Schizosaccharomyces pombe: one gene and its partners. Changing the gene in region 1 together with any one later gene gives a genetic interaction. Each region holds a gene or a part of one and is shown on either strand. Other genes may lie near its edges.

The links. A genetic interaction does not mean that the proteins touch.
Region 2: mutations in cdc12 (region 1) and act1 are lethal when combined (synthetic lethality), as found in Schizosaccharomyces pombe (3 studies listed by BioGRID, with this or other methods).
Region 3: mutations in cdc12 (region 1) and myo2 are lethal when combined (synthetic lethality), as found in Schizosaccharomyces pombe (4 studies listed by BioGRID, with this or other methods).

What each region holds. Positions count from the first base shown.
Region 1 is NC_003424.3:281,261-291,457, forward strand, and holds cdc12 (cytokinetic formin Cdc12), read left to right. Parts: upstream 1-2,083; 5' UTR 2,084-2,215; coding exon 2,216-7,741; 3' UTR 7,742-7,940; downstream 7,941-10,197. Other genes in the region: exocytic docking protein Mso1, read left to right, coding at 689-1,144; SPOM_SPAC1F5.03C (FAD-dependent oxidoreductase), read left to right, coding at 8,692-8,725, 8,927-10,041. UniProt on the Schizosaccharomyces pombe protein: Plays a role in the cell cycle. Involved in cytokinesis. Component of the cell division ring. In the absence of profilin, caps the barbed end of actin filaments, thus preventing subunit addition and dissociation.
Region 2 is NC_003423.3:1,474,985-1,479,061, reverse strand, and holds act1 (actin Act1), read left to right. Parts: upstream 1-1,728; 5' UTR 1,729-1,785; coding exon 1,786-2,913; 3' UTR 2,914-3,577; downstream 3,578-4,077. Other genes in the region: spore wall alpha-1,3-glucan synthase Mok12, read left to right, coding at 1-958. UniProt on the Schizosaccharomyces pombe protein: Actins are highly conserved proteins that are involved in various types of cell motility and are ubiquitously expressed in all eukaryotic cells.
Region 3 is NC_003421.2:1,232,731-1,240,085, forward strand, and holds myo2 (myosin II heavy chain myo2), read right to left. Parts: upstream 5,507-7,355; 5' UTR 5,301-5,506; coding exon 720-5,300; 3' UTR 501-719; downstream 1-500. Other genes in the region: Smc5-6 complex non-SMC MAGE family subunit Nse3, read left to right, coding at 1-441; RhoGEF for Rho1, Rgf3, read right to left, coding at 6,655-7,355. UniProt on the Schizosaccharomyces pombe protein: Required for cell division. It is a component of the cdc12 'spot', a structure thought to mark the site of septation. May work in conjunction with myo3.

The DNA of each region.
Region 1 (10,197 bases):
AAAAATGCACTCAGCTTTGTGAACGCAGAACAACTAATATATACGATATCCTTATTTAGTTTTCGTAGTGAATACATATTAAGGGCGAGGCTCTTTTTCACCGACATATATTTAATTTAAAGAAATTTTTATTGTAGATACTAGTTTATGATTTTTGGAAGACTACAAGTAGTAAAATTAAAACTTACCTAACTATTTTAAAACTACATTTTCGTAGTCCATTTAGAAATTATGTATACCTTAATTAGCTACTACATAGTAAGATTGCTCAGTATTGATTTTGTTTACCAAGCTTTTCATCGTTCATTCTTTTTTTTAGCCGATTTCATGCATCATCTTCGAGAGTATCTAAATTAAATGTTTAAATCCACCCACAAATTATTTTTATTTGTAAGATATTAATCAATTGGACATTTGCAATAAAATTATCTATTTATGTGCTGATTTTACATTCGTTAAAACATATAATGTAGTTCATGGTCGTGTTATTAATCACTTTAGACAGTTTAGCGAGTTGGCGTCTTTATGAAATCCGCGTCGCCAGATATTAAGCCGTTCTTGGCATCATAATAATGGCTAAACTTTTTTATTAATTACTTTTATTGAAATTTTTTGAATTCAAATGCCAAGGTTCTTTAAAATTTAGAGATTAAGTAGTACATAAAGAAACGCGAACTCTCGATTCATCATGTGGTCAAAGTTATCGATTTCTTCAAAAATTAATCGTATTCGCGACCCTGAAAGCGATAATACGATTGAAGATACTCACGTTGCTCGTGTAATGAGAAAATACTATATGGACAAAATTGGGACATTACCTGAATGGCTTCGTCCTCCTGGATGGCAGCCTCCAGTTAACACAGGACCTACTTCCCCAGTTAGCATAAATGCAAGTAATGCGGCTCCTTCAAATTTAAAAGCTTCATATATTCCGGCCAATCCTAGGAGGCTATCGTCCTCCACTTCCTCTGCTTCGTCTCCCCCTTTACGACGATTACCTTCTGTTCAACATAGTACCTTTGACGATTTGTTTGAAGGTGTCGGAAGTCTTCAAAAATCACCTTCCACCACGAAACCTCTTTCCTCTACACCTTCCGGCTCATTGCTACGGTCAAAATTTGATCACACTAGAAAGAAGTTTTAGTTGACACAACGATACCTTTACTTTACTCTCATTGGTATCTGTTAATGGCGTATTAATGATCAAAACGACTTTTTGTTTCTTTGAAAATGCTGTTACTACGTATGTGTTATTCTCAACCTCGTTTGTTAATAACTAAGCCCATCTTACCCAGAAGTTCGACATTTGTCAGTACAGAGGCATAATTACTTATTTTACAACTTTGAGTTAGCTCACCTTTTCTGGTTTTTCCTTTAGTAATTATTTTTGGAATGACCTGACAATAAGGTGCACTATCCTAAGCAACTCGCCTTTAGTTTGAGAACTATCATTTAGTCTAATTAAATAACCATCACATGTTCTTTATGTTTCTAACCGGATTGTAGCTTTAAAAATTAAACTGTTCAAAAAGCGCTTGGTAGAATTAAAGCTAGTAGCTGAAATCAATTCAACATTATAAAAACTTATCGTTACATACAGCGCATCGTATAGGTTTCTTTAATTTCTAACTCGAACACTTAGGGACGAATTGTGAAAATTCGTTATTGTAATTTAATATGGTATGTAAATAAAAGCACCAATGGATTCGTTCTTGTGATTCTCGTTTATTTGCAAATTTCTGGTTATATTTAGCTCAACGTGACAACAAAATATGTTACGAATGCTTTGTAAGTAAAAATGATCTTCACGAATGTATTTTCTCATTGAACAACGTTTTAAGCAACCAGAAACCGCATCCAAATGCAGACTAGACTTACAAGACGAGAATTTCGATTATCCTAAAAATAAAATTTAATACGCTATAACGCAATTTAACCATTATAATATTAGATATATCGAAGTTTCATTTCCTTTCAACTTACTTGTTCGCAAGTATACGTATTATCTTAGATCATTTAAGCCATCCCAACCCTTACTCGCTAAGTGTTCCACTTTATCCAAATTTGAAGGTCAACAAGTTCTGAACATCAACTTTTAGCAAATTTAAAAAAAAGGTTTAATTGAGCTAAAACTTTTCATCACAGTTTCCTTGTTAATACTTGAAAACAAGATCCTGAAAGCAATTACAATGCTGCATTCGTTTATGAAGTAGAGATGCGAAATTCGTCAAAGGGACAGGACCCTAATTTTTCTTATGACTCTATTCTGTCTACTCCAACTCCATCAGCCAGAAGAACTATTGGGCCAAGGGCTCCTAAGTCCAAAACAACGTACCATAAACCTCCATCATCCATAGAATCAGTATCGACGTTAATCCAGCCTAATAAGTCCCAATCAGTTACTTCTCCGTATGTAAAGCAATTTACCTTTTCATCGAAAGAGTACAATTCTCATAATAAACATGCTTTGCAAAATTCCCAGCTTCCTTTACCTAAAACACCCGAGAAATCTACTGTCCATCGACCCAAAGCGAATAAAGTTGAAGTCACTGATCTACCATCTTCGTCTTCCGTTGAACATTTGCACACTTCTAAACATCTCAAGGGTCCTAGGTTGCCCAAAAACATTATTAAAAGTTCTGAGGATGTCCAAATTGCTCCAGTGACACCCCCTGTACATTCTCGCTCTTTTGATCCTTTGCCGAAACCTCCTGTTCCCTCAGTTCCAGTATCTAAGACAAAAAGGCGAACTAAGCATAAACTTGCTCCTGTTGTTGAAGTCCCTGAGATTACCAACGAGGTTTCCCCAAAATTCACTTCTACTAATGATGAACAAGTTTATCGACTACGTTCAATTCGAGCTGGGAGCCCTAATTCGGTATGCTCGTTTCAGTTTGAAATTCCGAGTACTCGACCACCTTCATTGGATCAGCTAATACATCTATTCAACGATTTTTTAAGACACCCTGTATTTGATTTTGACGAAAACGCCATTGAAATGCTTCAAAGTTGTACTCCAGATGAAAAGTGGTGTTTTATTCGTTCTAACTTCGCCGGGTTTGATGATCCTTCTTTCCAAATTCCAGAATTAGCTGCCGTCCATAGACCTGTTTCCTGGTTCGTAATCCAACTATGGAATAAAACAATTAGTAATTTACAACTTATCACACTTTCTTCTTTATTATCAACTCAATCCGATCGATGGATATCTCTTTTTCTTGAACTGCAGGGACTTCGAGCTTTGCATAATCTACTTACATATTTTAATTCGTCTGCCGTAGTGCAGCCTCAGCAAGCTGAAGTTCCTCGTTGCATGCTTACTCTTTTGAAGAAAAAACCTACTCTGGTTACTTCCAATTCTTATATATTTCAAGCAATAACAGTGACCCTTATATCCCCAAATTTGCTTCCGAGGAAAGTAGCCGCAGATTTATTGACATGGGTTCTGTCTTTAAAGGAACCTCTTGTGGTCTCCATATTGGAAACTGGATTTAAAGAAATAAATGCCGAATATGAAAAGGAGGTTCCGCTATTCTTTGGATGGATAAAATCTTTCAAAGACATAATCTTGGAAAAAGAATTAGCACGAACCCCTCCATCTTCTCCTGCTCGAAATTCTGCTTCCAGCTCACCTTCAAACATAGCGTTTCTTGAGTATTGTACTTCCACTATGGAATTTATCAATCAGCTAATTGTTGCTTGCGAAGAATTGGAGCAAGGATTTGACCTTGATATATTGGATTCCCTTCGTGAATCAGGTATACACGAAGTTATACAACTTCTACGTAACTTTCCTGACCAACAACTTGAGAAACAACTAAACATATATGAATCAGAAGAAGAGAGGAGGACTATAAGTCAGACCACGCATGAAGATGTCGATTCCTTTATGTCAAATGAATCCTCAATTTTAAGTAGCTTCAATGAATTTGCATCAAATGAAGTTGGCCGTTTACTTGAATCAACTATTCAAAACATACTACTTGCCAAAGGTACTGAAAAGCAAAAGGTGAAACTTATCAAGGTTTTTAACTCTTTACTTCAAAGAATACTGCTCAATTCAAAAGTATCCAATGAAAGTTTTGAAGATAGTTTACAGGCATCTTTAAATATGCTAACCGAAAGATTCTATTCGGATGACACAGCCAGAAATGCTTTGAAGGAAGCAAAGGCGTCACGTGCAATGGCTGAGAAAATGGTTATTGAAAGAGATGCAATGGCTGCGCAAGTAAATCTGGGTGCCGAAGACTTAATTGCGAAGTTAAACAAAGAAGTAGAGGATCAGAAAGACGTTATTCTTTCTCAGAAAAGAACGAATGAGACTCTAAAAACAGAAATTGATGCTCTCCAAAAGTCTCATGTTACTCAAATCCAAAGGAGCGAAGTGGAATTACGAGAATTGTATCTTCTTATCAATTCGGATTCTTTTCAGGGCTCAACTAATTCCAAGGAAAGGATTATAGAATATTTGTTGGATAAGCTTGACTTGAGGAAAAAGGAAATTGCTGCAGAGTCAACACTTTGGTCAAACGATGGAATTGATGACAAACTTCGGGATCTAAGGGAGCAAATGTCTCGACAGTCCAGCCAGCCCTCAACTGTGTCAACTATTTTACAAATTCCTGATAAAAAATTTCATCGTCCATTCCCTCGTCATTTACATCGATATGTTGGTCGTTCAGCTTCTGAATCGTTAACCAGTGAAAAGGATGAGTCCATCAAAAGTATGAAAGGAATTGATGACTTTGCGAACTTGGAGATTCCGGGAAAGGGTATTGAGTCAAACGTCGTAATAAAGGATATTTCAAATCAAACGCATGAGATTAATAGCGTTGAGAACAAAGCAGAAACAGTTAGCAACAATAGTAAAATTACGAACTTTGATATTCCTAATGATGCAACTTCTTTACCAACGATAATTACACATCCAACTCCACCACCACCTCCTCCTCTTCCTGTTAAAACTAGTTTAAATACCTTTTCCCATCCTGATTCTGTGAACATCGTTGCTAATGATACATCGGTTGCTGGGGTTATGCCTGCTTTTCCACCACCACCACCACCTCCTCCTCCCTTAGTAAGTGCAGCTGGAGGTAAATTCGTATCCCCAGCTGTTTCAAATAATATATCAAAAGATGATTTGCATAAGACTACTGGTTTGACTCGTCGACCAACTCGTCGTTTGAAGCAAATGCATTGGGAGAAGTTGAATTCTGGGCTGGAATTTACATTTTGGACGGGACCTTCTGACGAGGCCAACAAAATTTTGGAAACCTTGCATACATCAGGGGTCTTAGATGAATTAGATGAAAGTTTTGCGATGAAGGAAGCAAAAACATTGGTCAAAAAAACATGTGCTAGAACTGATTACATGAGTAGTGAACTTCAGAAGCTTTTTGGTATTCACTTTCACAAGCTGTCTCACAAAAATCCGAATGAGATCATTCGCATGATTTTACATTGTGATGATAGCATGAACGAGTGTGTTGAATTTTTATCAAGTGACAAAGTACTAAATCAACCTAAATTAAAAGCAGATTTGGAGCCTTATCGTATTGACTGGGCAAATGGTGGTGATCTAGTTAATAGCGAAAAGGATGCTTCAGAGCTTAGTCGTTGGGACTATCTTTATGTGAGACTTATAGTTGATCTTGGGGGTTATTGGAACCAAAGAATGAATGCACTAAAAGTTAAAAACATAATCGAAACCAATTATGAGAACCTTGTTCGTCAAACAAAACTTATAGGGCGGGCTGCTCTTGAGCTTCGGGACAGCAAAGTTTTTAAAGGTTTGCTATATTTAATTCTATATTTAGGAAACTATATGAACGATTATGTGCGCCAAGCTAAAGGATTTGCCATTGGTTCACTTCAAAGACTTCCATTGATAAAAAATGCCAATAACACTAAAAGTTTACTTCATATACTTGATATAACTATTAGGAAGCATTTTCCTCAGTTTGACAACTTTTCCCCTGAACTATCAACCGTCACTGAAGCAGCCAAACTGAATATTGAAGCGATTGAACAAGAGTGCTCCGAGTTAATTCGTGGTTGTCAGAATTTACAAATAGACTGTGATTCTGGGGCTCTTTCCGACCCTACGGTATTTCATCCTGATGATAAAATCCTTTCAGTTATATTACCCTGGTTAATGGAAGGCACCAAAAAAATGGATTTTTTGAAAGAGCATTTACGTACAATGAATACTACCCTGAACAATGCTATGAGATATTTTGGTGAACAGCCTAATGACCCTAATTCCAAGAACCTGTTCTTTAAACGTGTTGATTCTTTCATAATTGACTACTCTAAGGCTAGATCTGACAACTTGAAATCGGAAGAAGAAGAAGCTTCACAGCATAGACGTTTGAATCTTGTCAACAATCATAAAGAACACGTGCTTGAACGTGCAATGTCTGAAAATAACAAAATGGATAATGAAGCAATGGATGGTTTCCTTGATAAATTGAGAAACGTCAAATTAGAAAGTCACCATAAACCACGAAATAGATCCGCCATTACTATGGGTAAAGAACATTTAATAGAAGCTCCTAACACTTCTACTAAATCTAGTCCTGCAAAAAACGAATTATTTGTTCCTAAGAGATCTTCGGTAAAAAGTGACTTGGCAAAAGTTAGGCCAAGGTATCCTAAGGGTAGTGAATCAACCGATGGATTATCTGACGCATTAAATATTACTCCAACGAAAAAAGGAGAAGTATCTAGCAAAGCTAAAAAGGGATACAACTACGAAAAGCGTCGTTCGGGCCGTCAGGTATCTGATAGCTATGTCCTTAACAAAAATTCGAAGAATAAAAGTAATAAGGGTCGCTCCGCTTCTTACACTTTTTCTGATCCAAGCAGTTTGGAAGATTCTAATAGGCAAAAACCCTTTAATGGTGAGAAATTTCGAAGGTTTAGTTCAAAATCAAGAAGAGGTTCACAAAACCGGGATTCTAAGAAGACGGGTAAAGCTCGAAAGGATAAAGGTATAAACAATAACCAGACAAGCCCTCAGAATAAACCGTCTAAAGAATCTCTAAAATCTGATACTATTTCAAACGAGAAGAAAGTATTTCCTCAAAAGGCTTCTAAAGTTAATTTGCTTACGCCGACAATTTCAAATGGTACTAGGGCAAGTAAACATGCTAACGAAAAGGAGAATACTTTTCCTCGTGGTGTCGAAAATAATCTGGTTGCTCCCATGATTCCTAATAACACCGAACTTAATGAAGATACCAGCGCTGTCTCTCGGAACTTAGAAAATGCCACCAATGACTTGAAGGAAACTTTTCCGACTACAACTACGATTTCAACAGCCAGAGCTAAACCTGGTAACAATGATATTAACACTATTTTACGAAGAAACAATAGCCGTGGCCGTCGACGCATGTTGCAGCAAATGAGTCCTTTGAAAAGCAATAAATTTTCGGGAACTAATGATTTGAATTTTCAACAAGCTACTAAACCAGACGGCAGCAATAAGTCCTCATATATGGAACGTCTGGAAAAATTGAAACAAAACTCTGAACGACATCTTCAATCAGTAGGAGGTAAGAAGGTTTATTCTTCTGAAGAAACGCCCGTCAACAAAATATTAGTATCGCCTTCCGTTTCTATTTTGGATCATAACCGAATCTTAAGTCAAAGTACTCCTATCAAATCACCACAACGAGCACAAGAAATGCTTGCAGGTTTATTATCTGGAAAATTGGCGCCTAAGGAGAATGAGAAATAGGTTAATGATGCAATCTTTCTACCATTGCATAATTTTTTTTTCTAATTTTGGAAGTTAGTTTAGTTGGAAGATTGCCCTTTTTTTGAAGTGTGTATCATGTTCATCATTTTTAATAGAAAGAGCTGGCTCGTTTGACATTTTGTCATATTTCTTTAAAAATCTTCTTATGAGTATGTAAATATAATGATTTAAATCCCTATTCTATTTATCATAATGTCTGTTGCGCAAATTGATGTAGAACTCTGTAAAATTTTTCAATCTGAAGTAAAATAGGACTAATGTTAAGATGAAAATCGTTTAGAAATCATTCGATGTGTGCTAATGTTTCTTCGTTTCTTTTATAAAGTGACGAATCATTGGCGAAGACTCACTATTTAAATATTGCTCAATTATATTTTCGGTGTAATTAACTTGTTACATTTTCTAAGGCAAATACATTGTGCTGTTGCAGAACTGTCTTTTCGAGAAACATACTCTGATTGATGTATCGTTGGTAGAATGGTAGAACACGAGCATGCATTAAGTCAAACATTCTACAAAATGAAATTTCAATTATTTTTATACACATGTTGTTTTTCGAGAAGTCTAAAATTAGTCTACGCTCGAGTAGTAGCATGTATAATTCAGTAAATAGCATAACTATTAACTATTGAGATTGTTTATGTGCTTAATCTTTTTTTATAATTTAACTAGTGCTCATTGAAATAGATTGACGACGAGCTTTTTAAACGCTTTAACTACCAACTTGCGCTGACCACTCACTATTGGTTTTAAGTTCAACGGATTTAGAAGATTAGCGCGCACATCTTGACCACCGAACTACCCAACACCAACGTTGTGAAAATTTTAAATTCGTAATCTTTCTTTGAAAATTGGAATTATTGGTATATAATTAAATTTCAGAGTCTACATTACTTGGTTTAAATTTAAACCGAGTTTTAGAAATAACAATGAGCAATTCTCGAAACATTGTAATTGTCGGTGGTATGTGACTTTAAAAATAGCTGGACTCATGATCTCTTTTATCTTAACTCATATATTGTTGATGTTGTTGATATTGACAAGAAGTTCATCAGCTTTATGACGGTGAAACTTCTTTCCTGCCATGCTCAGATGAGCTTTGCTTTGATTGCTATTTTACTTTACTGCCGCAATTTTCATAACTTACTAACAAATATTTTTCAGGTGGAATCACCGGTGTGAGCTGTTTATATTTTTTGGCTCATCACCCCAGTTTTAATCGTGATCGTGACACTATAACACTTTTTGAAAGTGCTGGTATTGCATCTGCCGCTTCTGGAAAAGCATCTGGTTTCCTTTCCTTAGAATGGCATGGCCCTTCGACGAGTTCTTTAGCTGCTCTTTCGTACAACCTACACAAAGAATTATCGGATCAATATGATGGAGTCAATAAATGGGGTTATCGAGCGTTAGATACTTGGTCCATTAAAGCTGACGAAAATTGCCAACAACCTGATAAATTGCCTGAGGGAATTGAATGGATTGCTCCCTCTATTGTTGAGAATGTTACTCGTTTAGGAAACAAGAAAAATTCTGGTCAAGTTCATCCTTATAAATTTTGTCATGCTATTTACGAAGAGGCCAGTAAGGTTGCAAACGTTACCTTGGTAAAAGGTCATGTATTAAGTGTTGATGAAAATGAAGTTGAATATCGGCTTATTGGTGATGACTACGCCCCGGATGAAGAGGAGGAAATTACTTCGGCTGAAGAACTGCATACCATTCATTCAATGGAGGCAACTCACATAATTGTCGCTGCCGGTCCTTGGACTCCCCAATTAATACCCAACTTGCGAATAAGTGGAGCACGAATTCATAGCATAACTATCGATCTTCCTATCAAGCTAAACGGCAATGCTGTATTTTCTGAAATTACCTATAAAGATGGGACAATTGCTGCTCCGGAGTTTTATGCACGTGAAGATGAGCTGTATGTATGTGGTGAATTCGATGACGAGCCTTTGCCTGAATTGTCGTCAGATACGAAGGTGGATCAAGATAAATGCGCTTTGATTAAACAATGTGCCAACCATTTCCACCAAATAATTCGTGATTCTCCTGTTAAAGTTCGTCAAGCGTGTTATTTGCCCATTTCTAATGCAACGGGTGCTCCTGTCATTGGAAAAATTGGTTCATCTATTTATGTTGCGGCAGCTCACGGCTGTTGGGGTATAACTTTGGGACCTGGTACAGGAAAAGTGTTATCTGAACTCATTTTGGATGGTGCTGTTACTAGCGCAAACATTGATCTTTTAGATCCGGAAGGTTCTTTGGAATAAAATCACCTTAATTATGGCCATATTTGTCTTCATATCCCTTCTTGTTTCTTATTTTTTTACGCTTAGCCTTTTATCCTTTATTTTCACTCTTTTATTCATCACATTCTCATTTATGAGAAAAGTCTAGGCATATTTTGGGAAACATATTTTCGAATC
Region 2 (4,077 bases), on another chromosome or scaffold:
TGCCATTTCAAGTTCTACTGGATCGCTGTATTTTGCATGGAATTTTGGTGCCGAAGGAGGTATCGCAACTCATCATTGGATTTTGAGGGCCTGTCTTGTACATGGGATTCAACAGATTTGGTCTGCAATCCTCTGGTCATGGGGAGATCTATTATCGAAGAAAGATTTGACTCAAAATGTGGGGCCTGGCATTTTTGCAGGGGGACTTATCGCCTCTTTCATTTGCTTCGGGCTTTCCTACGTAACATTCGCAGGTTTACCTGCTTTTTATCGCCAAGCTCCTTCTATCATTCCAGCGTTTTATCGTTCATTAGGAAAACGAAATATTGTAATTTGGTTTTTTATCTCTCAAATTTTAATCAATTACTGGCTTGCTGTCCCTTATGGCCAGGCTTGGAGGTTTTTCTGGAATACTAGCAACACTCCTTTGTGGAGCATAATCATTCTTTTACTCATTTTCTTCATCGTGGTTTGGGCCGTTCTCTTATCAGTTATAAAGATTTTGTCTCTTAATAACGTTTGGTTTCCAGTGATATTTGGATTGGGCCTCATTTGTCCACGCTGGTGCTTAGAGTTTTGGTCATCCTCGGGTCTCGGAATTAATTTACCATGGGCTGGTAAGGCTTCTGCCTTGCTGACGAAGTCAGTATGGCTTTTGCTAGCTCTATGGGACGGGATACAGGGAGTCGGTGTCGGTGTAATGTTACTGCAAACCCTGGCGAGAGATCATGTTGCTTTCACGTTGATGCTAGCGCAAGTTATAAGTTGTATTACAATTATGATCGCAAAACCTTCTCTGCCTGTAAGTGATCGAGTATTCCCAAATCTTGGTGCATGGAATCCTAGCGAAGGACCGGGACCTTGTGCATCACCTTGCTTTTATATTGCACTAATATGTCAATTTGTAGCTGTTGGAGGATTGCTCTATCACTATCGTAAAAGTCAGCTTGCTCTTTAGTGTTTGATCTACGATAATGAGACGGTGTTTGGGTTGTTTTTACTGAATTTTTCTTTTATTTTATGACATCTTAATTTTTATGTTAATGATTATTCTTATACTTTTATCTATCTTTGATTAAAACTAATATTCATTCTTTTGATCACTAATTATTTTTATAGTATACGATTCAACCCAACTATAATACATTGTATCAAGAGAAATTTTTAATTAGATGTAATTTAATAGCCATTTGATAAAAAAAAATTACCTTTTTTTTTGCTAGTGTTAAATTATTGATCATAACAATGTCGAATGAATACTAATAAAATAGGGACACGCGAGTTGCAAATACTTGAAATACCTTTGAAGATTTGTCTGTGAATTTTGATAAGATTTTTATGACCATCTCTTTTATATTCGATATCGTGAACTTTCATTTTCTTTTGTTTTTTGCTTTTCAAGTTAAATAACGCGGAAATTATATTTCCTTATATGTTTATAAGAGCTTTTAAAGGATTTGCTATATCGCTTACAGTACTACAACCGGTTGCTCAATGTTATCCGTTTCCGCGGTCTTCTTCCGTGCGCATTCTGCCGTGAAGTGCTAACGCTGTGTGTGGCTTTATCAAAAAAGTGGCTCAAATATAGCAATTTCATACATATTTAAACACCCATTATACTTAAATGTATATTTTAAAATATATAAGAGATTTTCACTGTATAACTGTGTATCTTATCTATATGTAATCAACGGCTTCATACCACCTCAGCCAGCCGTGTTATAACTTACCGTTTACCAACTACATTTTTTGTAACGAACCAAAAAACCCTCAAAAGACAAGACCATGGAAGAAGAAATCGCAGCGTTGGTTATTGATAATGGCTCTGGTATGTGCAAAGCCGGTTTCGCTGGAGATGATGCCCCTAGAGCTGTATTCCCCTCGATTGTCGGTAGACCCCGTCACCATGGTATTATGGTAGGTATGGGACAAAAGGATTCCTACGTTGGTGATGAAGCTCAAAGCAAGCGTGGTATTTTGACCTTGAAGTACCCCATTGAGCACGGTATTGTCAACAACTGGGATGATATGGAAAAGATTTGGCATCACACTTTCTACAACGAGCTTCGTGTTGCTCCTGAGGAGCACCCTTGCTTGTTGACTGAGGCTCCTTTGAACCCCAAATCCAACCGTGAGAAGATGACTCAAATTATTTTCGAAACCTTTAATGCACCTGCCTTTTATGTTGCTATTCAAGCTGTTTTGTCTTTGTATGCCTCTGGTCGTACCACTGGTATCGTCTTGGACTCTGGTGATGGTGTTACCCACACTGTTCCCATTTATGAGGGTTATGCTCTTCCTCATGCTATCATGCGTCTTGATCTCGCCGGTCGTGACTTGACTGACTACCTTATGAAGATTCTCATGGAGCGTGGTTATACTTTCTCTACTACCGCCGAACGTGAAATTGTTCGTGACATCAAGGAGAAACTTTGCTACGTCGCTTTGGACTTTGAGCAAGAACTTCAAACTGCTGCTCAATCTTCCTCCCTTGAGAAATCTTATGAGCTTCCTGATGGTCAAGTTATCACTATCGGAAACGAGCGTTTCCGTGCCCCTGAAGCTCTTTTCCAACCCTCAGCTTTGGGTCTTGAAAACGCCGGTATTCATGAGGCTACTTACAACTCTATCATGAAATGTGATGTTGATATTCGTAAAGATTTGTACGGTAACGTTGTTATGTCTGGTGGTACCACTATGTATCCCGGTATTGCCGATCGTATGCAAAAGGAGATTCAAGCCCTTGCTCCTAGCTCCATGAAGGTCAAGATTGTTGCTCCTCCTGAGCGTAAATACTCTGTCTGGATTGGTGGATCCATTCTTGCTTCTCTTTCTACTTTCCAACAGATGTGGATCTCCAAGCAAGAGTATGATGAGAGCGGACCTGGTATCGTTTACCGTAAGTGCTTCTAAGCTCCTCTTACTTTTTGTAACGTTTTTTACATACTTTTGAATAACATCGATTCTTCTGATATATATAAATTTCAATCTTTTTTTACCTATTTAACCACCTTTTTCCGCTCTTAACATCTCATGAGGAACTTTGGGTATCAATTATTGGAGTGTTTTATATACTTTCTGATTACTATCGTTTTCTTGCTCTGTTTTCTTTTTTTCATTATAGACGAATGCAGAGCTAGCCTTTTACATATTGAAGTTACAGAAATATTTCCAGTAGATACCTATGATGTTACTTCATTCGCTTATAACTTCCCGTTTTCTTTAACATGTTTCTTCTCGAGTCCGGCCGATTATTTTTGTCGATATTTTCGTTATGTTTATCGCTGTGATTATCGATTAAAGAACTGTAGTAAATGAATTTTACTTACTCCCGTTAATTTTTACGAATTTTATTTTGTACAAGGTGGTAACTGCGAGATAGTTAGAAGCGGAAGTGGTGCAATGTACTTCATCAGCCATTTCTTTTCGTCCTGTAGAGTTGTATCATCTTCAGTACTGATTTAATTGGTACCTGAACTTGTATAACTTTGAAGCCAAATGGTTGAATGTGTTTTACATTAGTATTAGCAAAAGTTTATTAGGTCAAAAAAAGATTTAATACATACATGGTATATGATCATTGTTGGATAGTATAGTTGAGGTAAAATTCTTATAAATTGTAAGACATTGGTATGATTAGTGTTCTTCAAATATAAAAAGAGAGGAAGTAGTGAATTATGAAGCTGTAGGAGATGGAGCCCGATTAGCCAGTTGTATAGTTGAGCGATTAATATATAGTGACAAAGTAATTTGGACTGACGACGCCTCTCTGTATAAACAAATCCAATGATATTACATTCCTATGACTTTATTTAGAATTGTTTCGTCAACATATATTATTACAAGAGATTATTATTTTTTTTTGTAGTATTATGATAATATTAAAACCATTGTTCAAAGAATAAGAGAAAAATGTTAACCATATTAAATAAAATAAGTTGCTGCTGAAACATGGAAAGAAAAGATCCATCGAAATTTGCAGAACATGTATGAAAAAGGATGGCCAAGACCCGGTGCCTGAACTCGTGACAGAGTATAGACGCATTAAAACGAACGTTAAATGATGTTGATGAAAAA
Region 3 (7,355 bases), on another chromosome or scaffold:
TGGGTGTTGAGGTCTACCCTTCCTATGGAACTTCAAAAGGATTCTCGCTTAATTGTAGATTCGGTATTGGATACTGCTTATTATGGATTTTTGATGACTGTGATCGCATTCATAGCCGTTTCTCATTGCAGTGTAGGACATTCAGAACTGCAATCTTTTTTGCAGGAACTTCTAACAGAGGAAGAAACAACCCCTTTGCATCTGGATATTACTCGCTCGTTATCTCTTTTAGTTCGCCAAGGGTATTTAGATAGAGTGAAAGATGATACCCATAACCAGTTTGTTTATTATATTGGATCCCGTGCAGTAACTGAAATTTCTATTGAAGGCTTGAAATCATTCGTTACAGAGTTCTTTCCGGATTCAGACATTGATATGGATGCTCTATTAACCGAATATCGGCAGGAGTATCAGAATCAATCTTCCTCAAGTGCAGCATAGATGACTCTTAGGTTTTTACATTATGCTCGTCTCATGTTAATGCTATTGTATACTTACTCCGCTACTACAAAAAAATTCGTAATATTATTTAAGTTCCTATATGCGTGCTAATATCTCGATATAAATTTAAGATGTATATTTGGTTATATAGCGGGAATATTATGTACAGCTGTTAAATAAAAAAAATAAAAAAATAGCTCGTAAACTTATAAGAGAAGTATATGTCAGTATATATAATATAATTAATAAAGGTTTCATCATTACAAAATCATTTAACTTCATGCGGCGCGCAACTCATCTTCAAGGCTTGCAATGCGATCTCGTAAAGCTCTCACATCTATTAACGAATCTTTGTTCACTTTTTCCAAAGAAGCAATTCGTTTTTGTAACTCCTGCTCACGTTTTTCATATTGTACTTGAACGGAAAACATTTTTGCCTTTTCGCTATTTATTTGATCCTTCAGAGCTTTCAATTCAATAGCATGAGCCAAGTTGACATGTTGCAAAGATTGGCCAGTAGGTTGAGGTGATACTTCGGCCCCTTTTAACTCATTAACTTGCTTCTCTAAGTTGTGCTTCTCAAGATTAAGACGGTCGTAGTCTCGTTTCAAGTTCTCGTATAACGCTTGATTTGCATTTCTTTGCTGTAAATCAAAAATTGTCTTTCGTTGTGGAATATTTTTCAAAACGGGTTCCGTAGTTTTGACAGCCGGTATATTATTCTCCTTTCCGGACGGTCTATGTTCTTTAAGGCGATGTATCTCTGCCTCTCGCTTCTTGCAGGAATCAAGAGCAGAATTCAGTTCCTTTCGAGTATCAACCAGCTTCATTTCTACTTCTGAAAGCTTACTACGTATACTTTCATGATCAGCAACTTTGTTCCTTAAAAGGGTGACTTCCGAACGGAGGCTTCTAGTTGTTTTTACTTCTTCTAGTACCTTTTGATACTCAACTTCAAGCTTTCGTTTACTCTCCAACTCTGATTTCAAAGAGCGTAATTCTTCGTTATCTCGACTAGCTATCAATGCTTTACGCTTTTCATCTTCAAAGGTCTTACCGAGTTGACTGTACTCGTGCATTAAGTTAGTAATCTTCCTCTCAAGTTCGGGAACCTTAGATGCTTTTGGAGAAAGTTCATTTACTTGCTTCGTCAAACTCGATACCTTATTAGAGAGATCTTTATTCTCGGAGCTCGCCAACGAAAGCTTTTCCTTGTAGGACGCCGATTGCCGAAGAAGACTTTCATGATTAAAGGTCAAATCACGATGTTTTTTCGAAAGTTCCTGAAAGTTTGTATCGACGTCTTTTAACCCCTCCAAGTCCAGCTGAAGTCCTTCATATTTTTTCTTGTAATTCTCCAAGTCGCTAACTTTAAGAAGTAAATTCTCATGGATTTCTTGCAATTCAATGTACTTTAAAGAAGCATCTGACAAATTTTGGCATTTCTCTTCCTTATTTTCAAGCTCTTTCGTTAACGATTTGATGTTATTTAAACATTCTTTAACTTTGGCTTCCAGTTCTTTATTTTTGGTAGCCTGGAGCTGATAAAGTTGATCTTTGTCATTCAAGGATTCTAGTTCTTTCTTCAATTTCGGAAGCTGTTTGACATCGGCTTCCAAATAATTAACCTTCTCTTCTAAGTTATTTATTGTTAACTCTTGCACTCCTTTCAAGACGCTTAACTCTTCTTTCTGCTGTTTTAAAATAGAGACGTCGCTTATAAGAGTAGAATTTTCACGTTCTAATTTTTTGACTCGTTTGAGACTCTCAGATAAAGAACCTTCCTGCTGAATACTCTTTTCATTCATCTTCTGATTTGTCAGTCTCATTTCTTGAATTTCAGTTTTATAGTCAGAAATATATTTAGTGAGTTTATCAAGTTCAGCATCCTTGGTAACGATAGTTTCCTGTAAACTTTTACATTGTTCATTGAACTCTGCTTTTTCTGATAAAACAGTTGCATTGTTCTCACGTAAAGACTCAAGTTCTCCCTTTGTATCTAGCAAATCCTTCTCTTCCAAACTCAGTTTTTCTTTCAGTTCGTTCTGTTCTGATAACAAAGTCTCAACCTTGGAAGTTTTTTCTAGTAACTCACTTTCTAATTCGTTATTAATCTGTTTCAATGACGCTGACTCTCGTTGCAAATTTTCATTTTGCTGTTTTGTTTCGCTAAACGAATCTTCTATGTTTGCAAGCCTTTCCTGTGTTCGACGTAATATTTCCTCCTTATCAAGGGCTATCGCACGTTCAGTAGTAAGCAAATTTTCAACAGCAGTTAAAGAATTGTTGGTCTCGACGAGATCACGCTCTACCTCAGATTTTGAATTCTGTTGTTTTTTCAGCTCGTACTTCAGCTCTATGATTTCAGCATCTCGCTTTTTAAGCTGCTTATCATTTTGAGTACTACTTAATAAGGGCCTTAGATTGAAAAATAACTTAGCCCAAGGAAAAGTTCTAAATTCATTGTACACTTGCAAATTTGCTTGTAGTAATTTGATGGCTTGTATGTCCTTCAATCGCTTTTGAAAAATTTTTCTTTGAAGAAAGCCACGGATCCTTGTTTGTAGCATAGTCATCAGTCTTTGTAAAGTCGCTACGCGCCTCTCCTCTAATTCTGCTAAAACACCTGCTTTGAAAAATATTTTTGAAACACCAATTCGATAAGATGCTTCGTCAATTTTCAACTCCTCCAAAATCATGACAGAAGCACGTCGAGATTCCACATAGGTACCTGTTGGTAAATGCGCCATTATCTCATATCTGACTCTAAAATCATTAAATGGTAAACGGTTAGGAAAACCAGCCCTTGTGATTCTGATTCCTTCCAAAACACCATTACATCGAAGTTGTCCTAAAACGAGGGGTCTATTAAAGGTGTGCATTTTCTTTTCTTCGTTTGGAACAATACAACGAATAAAGTGAGGTTGGGTCGAGTTAAATTGATTCATAAGCTGATTGAGCTGCTCTTTATGCCTTTGAGCAACAGTTCGAAAAAGGCCCTTTTTCGTCCTTCCCCTAACAGTTTTAGTCTCAGTTTCCTGATAATCAGAAAATAGTGTAGCGACATGCTTGTTAGTAGATTGCGCAAGCAACTTAGCAACGTTTTCATTCAAAGGATCGGTGTTCTTCTCCAGCCAACCTTCTGTACTGTAAGGAACATCAGCGGCATAATGAGTCAAAATAAAACCTTGATCGGCAAACTTAAAAGGTTTATATTTTAGCGACTTGTTCCTCCAAAGAGCATCAAGTTTAGAAGTAAACGTAGCATCAGTTGCTTTCGGCATAACACATTCTTCATCCAAACATGAAAGAATACCTATTGGGTTTGCTTTCTCGATTAAATCAATAGTCGGCTGTAAATCATGTCCAAAATCAATGAAATCCCATACAATTTCTTCTTTCATATATTCTTCTTGCTCCAATACGAACATGTGATGGTTAAAGAATTGTTGCAACTTTTCATTTGTGTAATTAATGCAAAGTTGTTCAAAACTGTTTTTCTCAAAGATTTCGAAACCGGCGATATCTAAAATACCAATAAAGTAGCTTTGGGCATTGGAATGGTTCAAGGAAGTGTTAAGTCGCTTTACCAGCCATCCAAAATTCCTTTCGTATATGGCTTTTGCTAATGCTTCAATGGACGAAATGACTTGAGTTTGACTTCGAGCGCTGATAACCCATTCATGGCCTGCTTTAATACGAGGTCGAACAAGATTTTGTGAAAATAACTCCGGAGACACACCAAGCAAATGACAGAGCTTGTCAATCTCATCAGGATTGAGAAGACGAGCTATACCAGAGCGATCAGCACCGACATCAATATTTCCCATATGTAGAATAATGGAAAGTATATTAAATAAATCAAAGTTCTCTTTATCGTCAAATCCAAGAGTTTTAAAAGCAGCTAAAAGAGTTTTAAACTCTTCTTTATCGTCAACTCCATCAATAATGTGAACCGAATCCTTCAAATATCGATAATCATTACAGTTATCGGTTAAAAGAAGTTTGTTCTTGAGAGCAGTATCAGCACCACTTAAAAGCTGATAAAAAACATGGTAGTTTCTTTCAAACTCGTTCTGATGAACAACGCGAGATTTTTCAAGAAGATACCATTCTATGGCGGCATTCGAAATTTCCCCACTCAAAGAAAACTCAACTTTAATGAATTTTCCAAAACGAGAAGAATTGTTGTTGCGTACGGTACGAGCATTACCAAATGATTCGAGCACAGGATTCGTTTTAATGATCTGCTCTTCAACCTGACTAGAGCCAACGGTAGTCGAGCTAGCAATTGCTGCAAGATATTGGATGATTCTTTTGGTATTCTCTGTTTTACCTGCGCCGGACTCACCAGTTACAAGAATCGATTGATTTTCCTTATTTTCTAAAAGGTTATTGTATGCTAAATCCGCGATTGCGAAGACATGAGGTAGCTTGCGCTCTTGTGTTTTATCTTTGTACAATTGAATGATGTCCTTCGTATAGATTGGTAGTCCACAATAAGGATTGACCGCAACGAGAAAGAGCCCAGAATAGGTATAAATTTGATCAGAGAGATATCTCTGTTCAAGATTGTATGTGACTGCAGGCTCGTTTAAGTATGTCAACTCAGCCATGTCATTGACTCTATCAAACTTGGCAGGATTCACCGGATCAATTTCATCCTCACCAACGATCTTCTCATCCCTGGAATTATTATACCGAACAACATATTTCTTGTCTGGCAGATCCTCTTTAATCCAAGCCTTGGTAAAGGCAGTCTCTGGGTCGGAAATCCAAACCCATCGTTTATCATCAATATCCTTCAGACTAGTTGCACCATCTTTTGCAGTTATTTTATTAGATATTACTTCTGTCATCGGGCTACTCTCTAAGACGGTTATTTACCGCCTTTCCTGAAAATAAACAATGCGGTGTACAATACCAAAACCTTGTAAAACAATAAGGATAGACCAAAAATCAAAGAGTGAAAAAATCCAAAAAGATAGCAATAGATATATCCGAAAAGAAGGATCAACAAATGCACAGAGAAAACGTTAAAGAACTATGTTGTTGGATACTTTTTGTACTCCCCGTTGAACGCACAGCAATTAATGATTTAAGCACTTGAACATTCGATTAACGCATGCGTTAATCGAACGTTTATGTACTTGATCATATTTGCGTTAAAACATTTAGTATAGGTTAAGGTAGCATCCAGAAACATTCCTATAACATAATGATTTTAATATCACAATTAAGAAGGTATATATATCTTTTAAAAGAAATAATATTAATAGATGGAGGTCATTATATACTCGGTCTTTTGCAATTAAAGTCCTGACAAATTTTTAAAGCTTTACTTTCATCAAGATTGAAGATATTAAGTAATAATTGAAAATACATTGTACTAATACTCAAAACATCAAATGAACGTAGGATTAGGGGTTACGGTTTAATCGAAATTTCATGTTCCCCCGTGCTTTTAGGTAAAATGATTGTATAAAAAACTCCCGCTATTACAGATATATGAGTAATTTGTGACTAGATACGCAAATAATATGTTCCTCATCGTACCGAACACAACTTTTAAAGCAAATAACTAAACTCGGCATTTATTTATCTACATTTTATATATAGCACTCTAATCATGCCTCTTACTGAATAATTATAAGAACACGCTCTAGCTAATAATCGCAATCAGTAATTATTATGTGCTTACTGACCATCTACAGCTATGGCCCTGGTAATAATCAATAAGTAAATATACAGAAATGTTAGTTGCTTCAGTTAGTGTTTGAAAGAAAGCATGGTGCTTCAATGTGTAACCACATCTTTAAACTTATGATCAAAACATGCAGAATACCATAACCAGTTACGTAAAAAAACAACAATGTTCTCTGTTTTCATCAACTGTAGTCGGCAAGTTTATGCAACTTGTACAATAAGCCAATTTTGGCTTAACACTGAACATAATGATAGTAGCGATCATTTTAAGTAATTAAAAAATGTTAATGCATGCAGATTTTAATATTCCTTTGTGATAAAATGGGTAGGGAAATGTAAAAAAAAAAAAAAAGAAGAAATAAAATTTCAAGGCTGCGATAAAATATGATTCGAAAGATGCAGGATGTTCCGTAAAACAAAATAAGATAAACGTTTCCGATATTCAAAAGTATGGATGAGTAAAAAAGACAATCATGGCAAGAAAACTTGTAATAAATATGATAATTATCAATCTTCAATTATGAAGGAGTTTGTTTTTGCCTTATTTAAAGCGAGTATCAAATGGCGATCGTGATACTGAGGATGAACCATGCCAAACATTATATATTTCCCATTGGCTAGCCAATCACTGTTACTAGGGTAGTATTTAATGTCATTTCCTTGGATAATTTGATTAAGTTTCCTAGTTCGCGTGTTCCATATTTCGACAAATTCATCATTAAATGCAATGAGATATCCATGACAGCTGGTAACAGAGTTCGGTTTGCCAATCCAATCAAACCAACACTCTTTATTAACCATACTACCCTCTCCATTGACAAACACGGCACCGAATTGATAGCAGCATGCAAATAAGCTAGGATCGTGGATGCGAAAGACGCCAAGCGGCTTACTGTTGTTGATTCGGTTCCGAAACAACGTATCATTAAGCACTGAAGGGCTTGGAAAACCAACTGCTAATTTAGGGTCCAAACGCAGAACGTCAATGCCTTTATTGTGACAAAGAGCAATTGAATACTTAAAGCAATCAATTGAATGACAGTTAGCCGTTACGTGAAAATCATCCAGAGTTCTGAAGGAAGTAACATCTTTTCTCTTGAAGGCATATGTTTTCTGATAGTTATGTCCTAAGCCGATCACTGGTTCACAGCAAATTATGGTTGTAGTATTACCGAGTCCCTCTTTATAAAAAACCAAAGTTCGCTCAC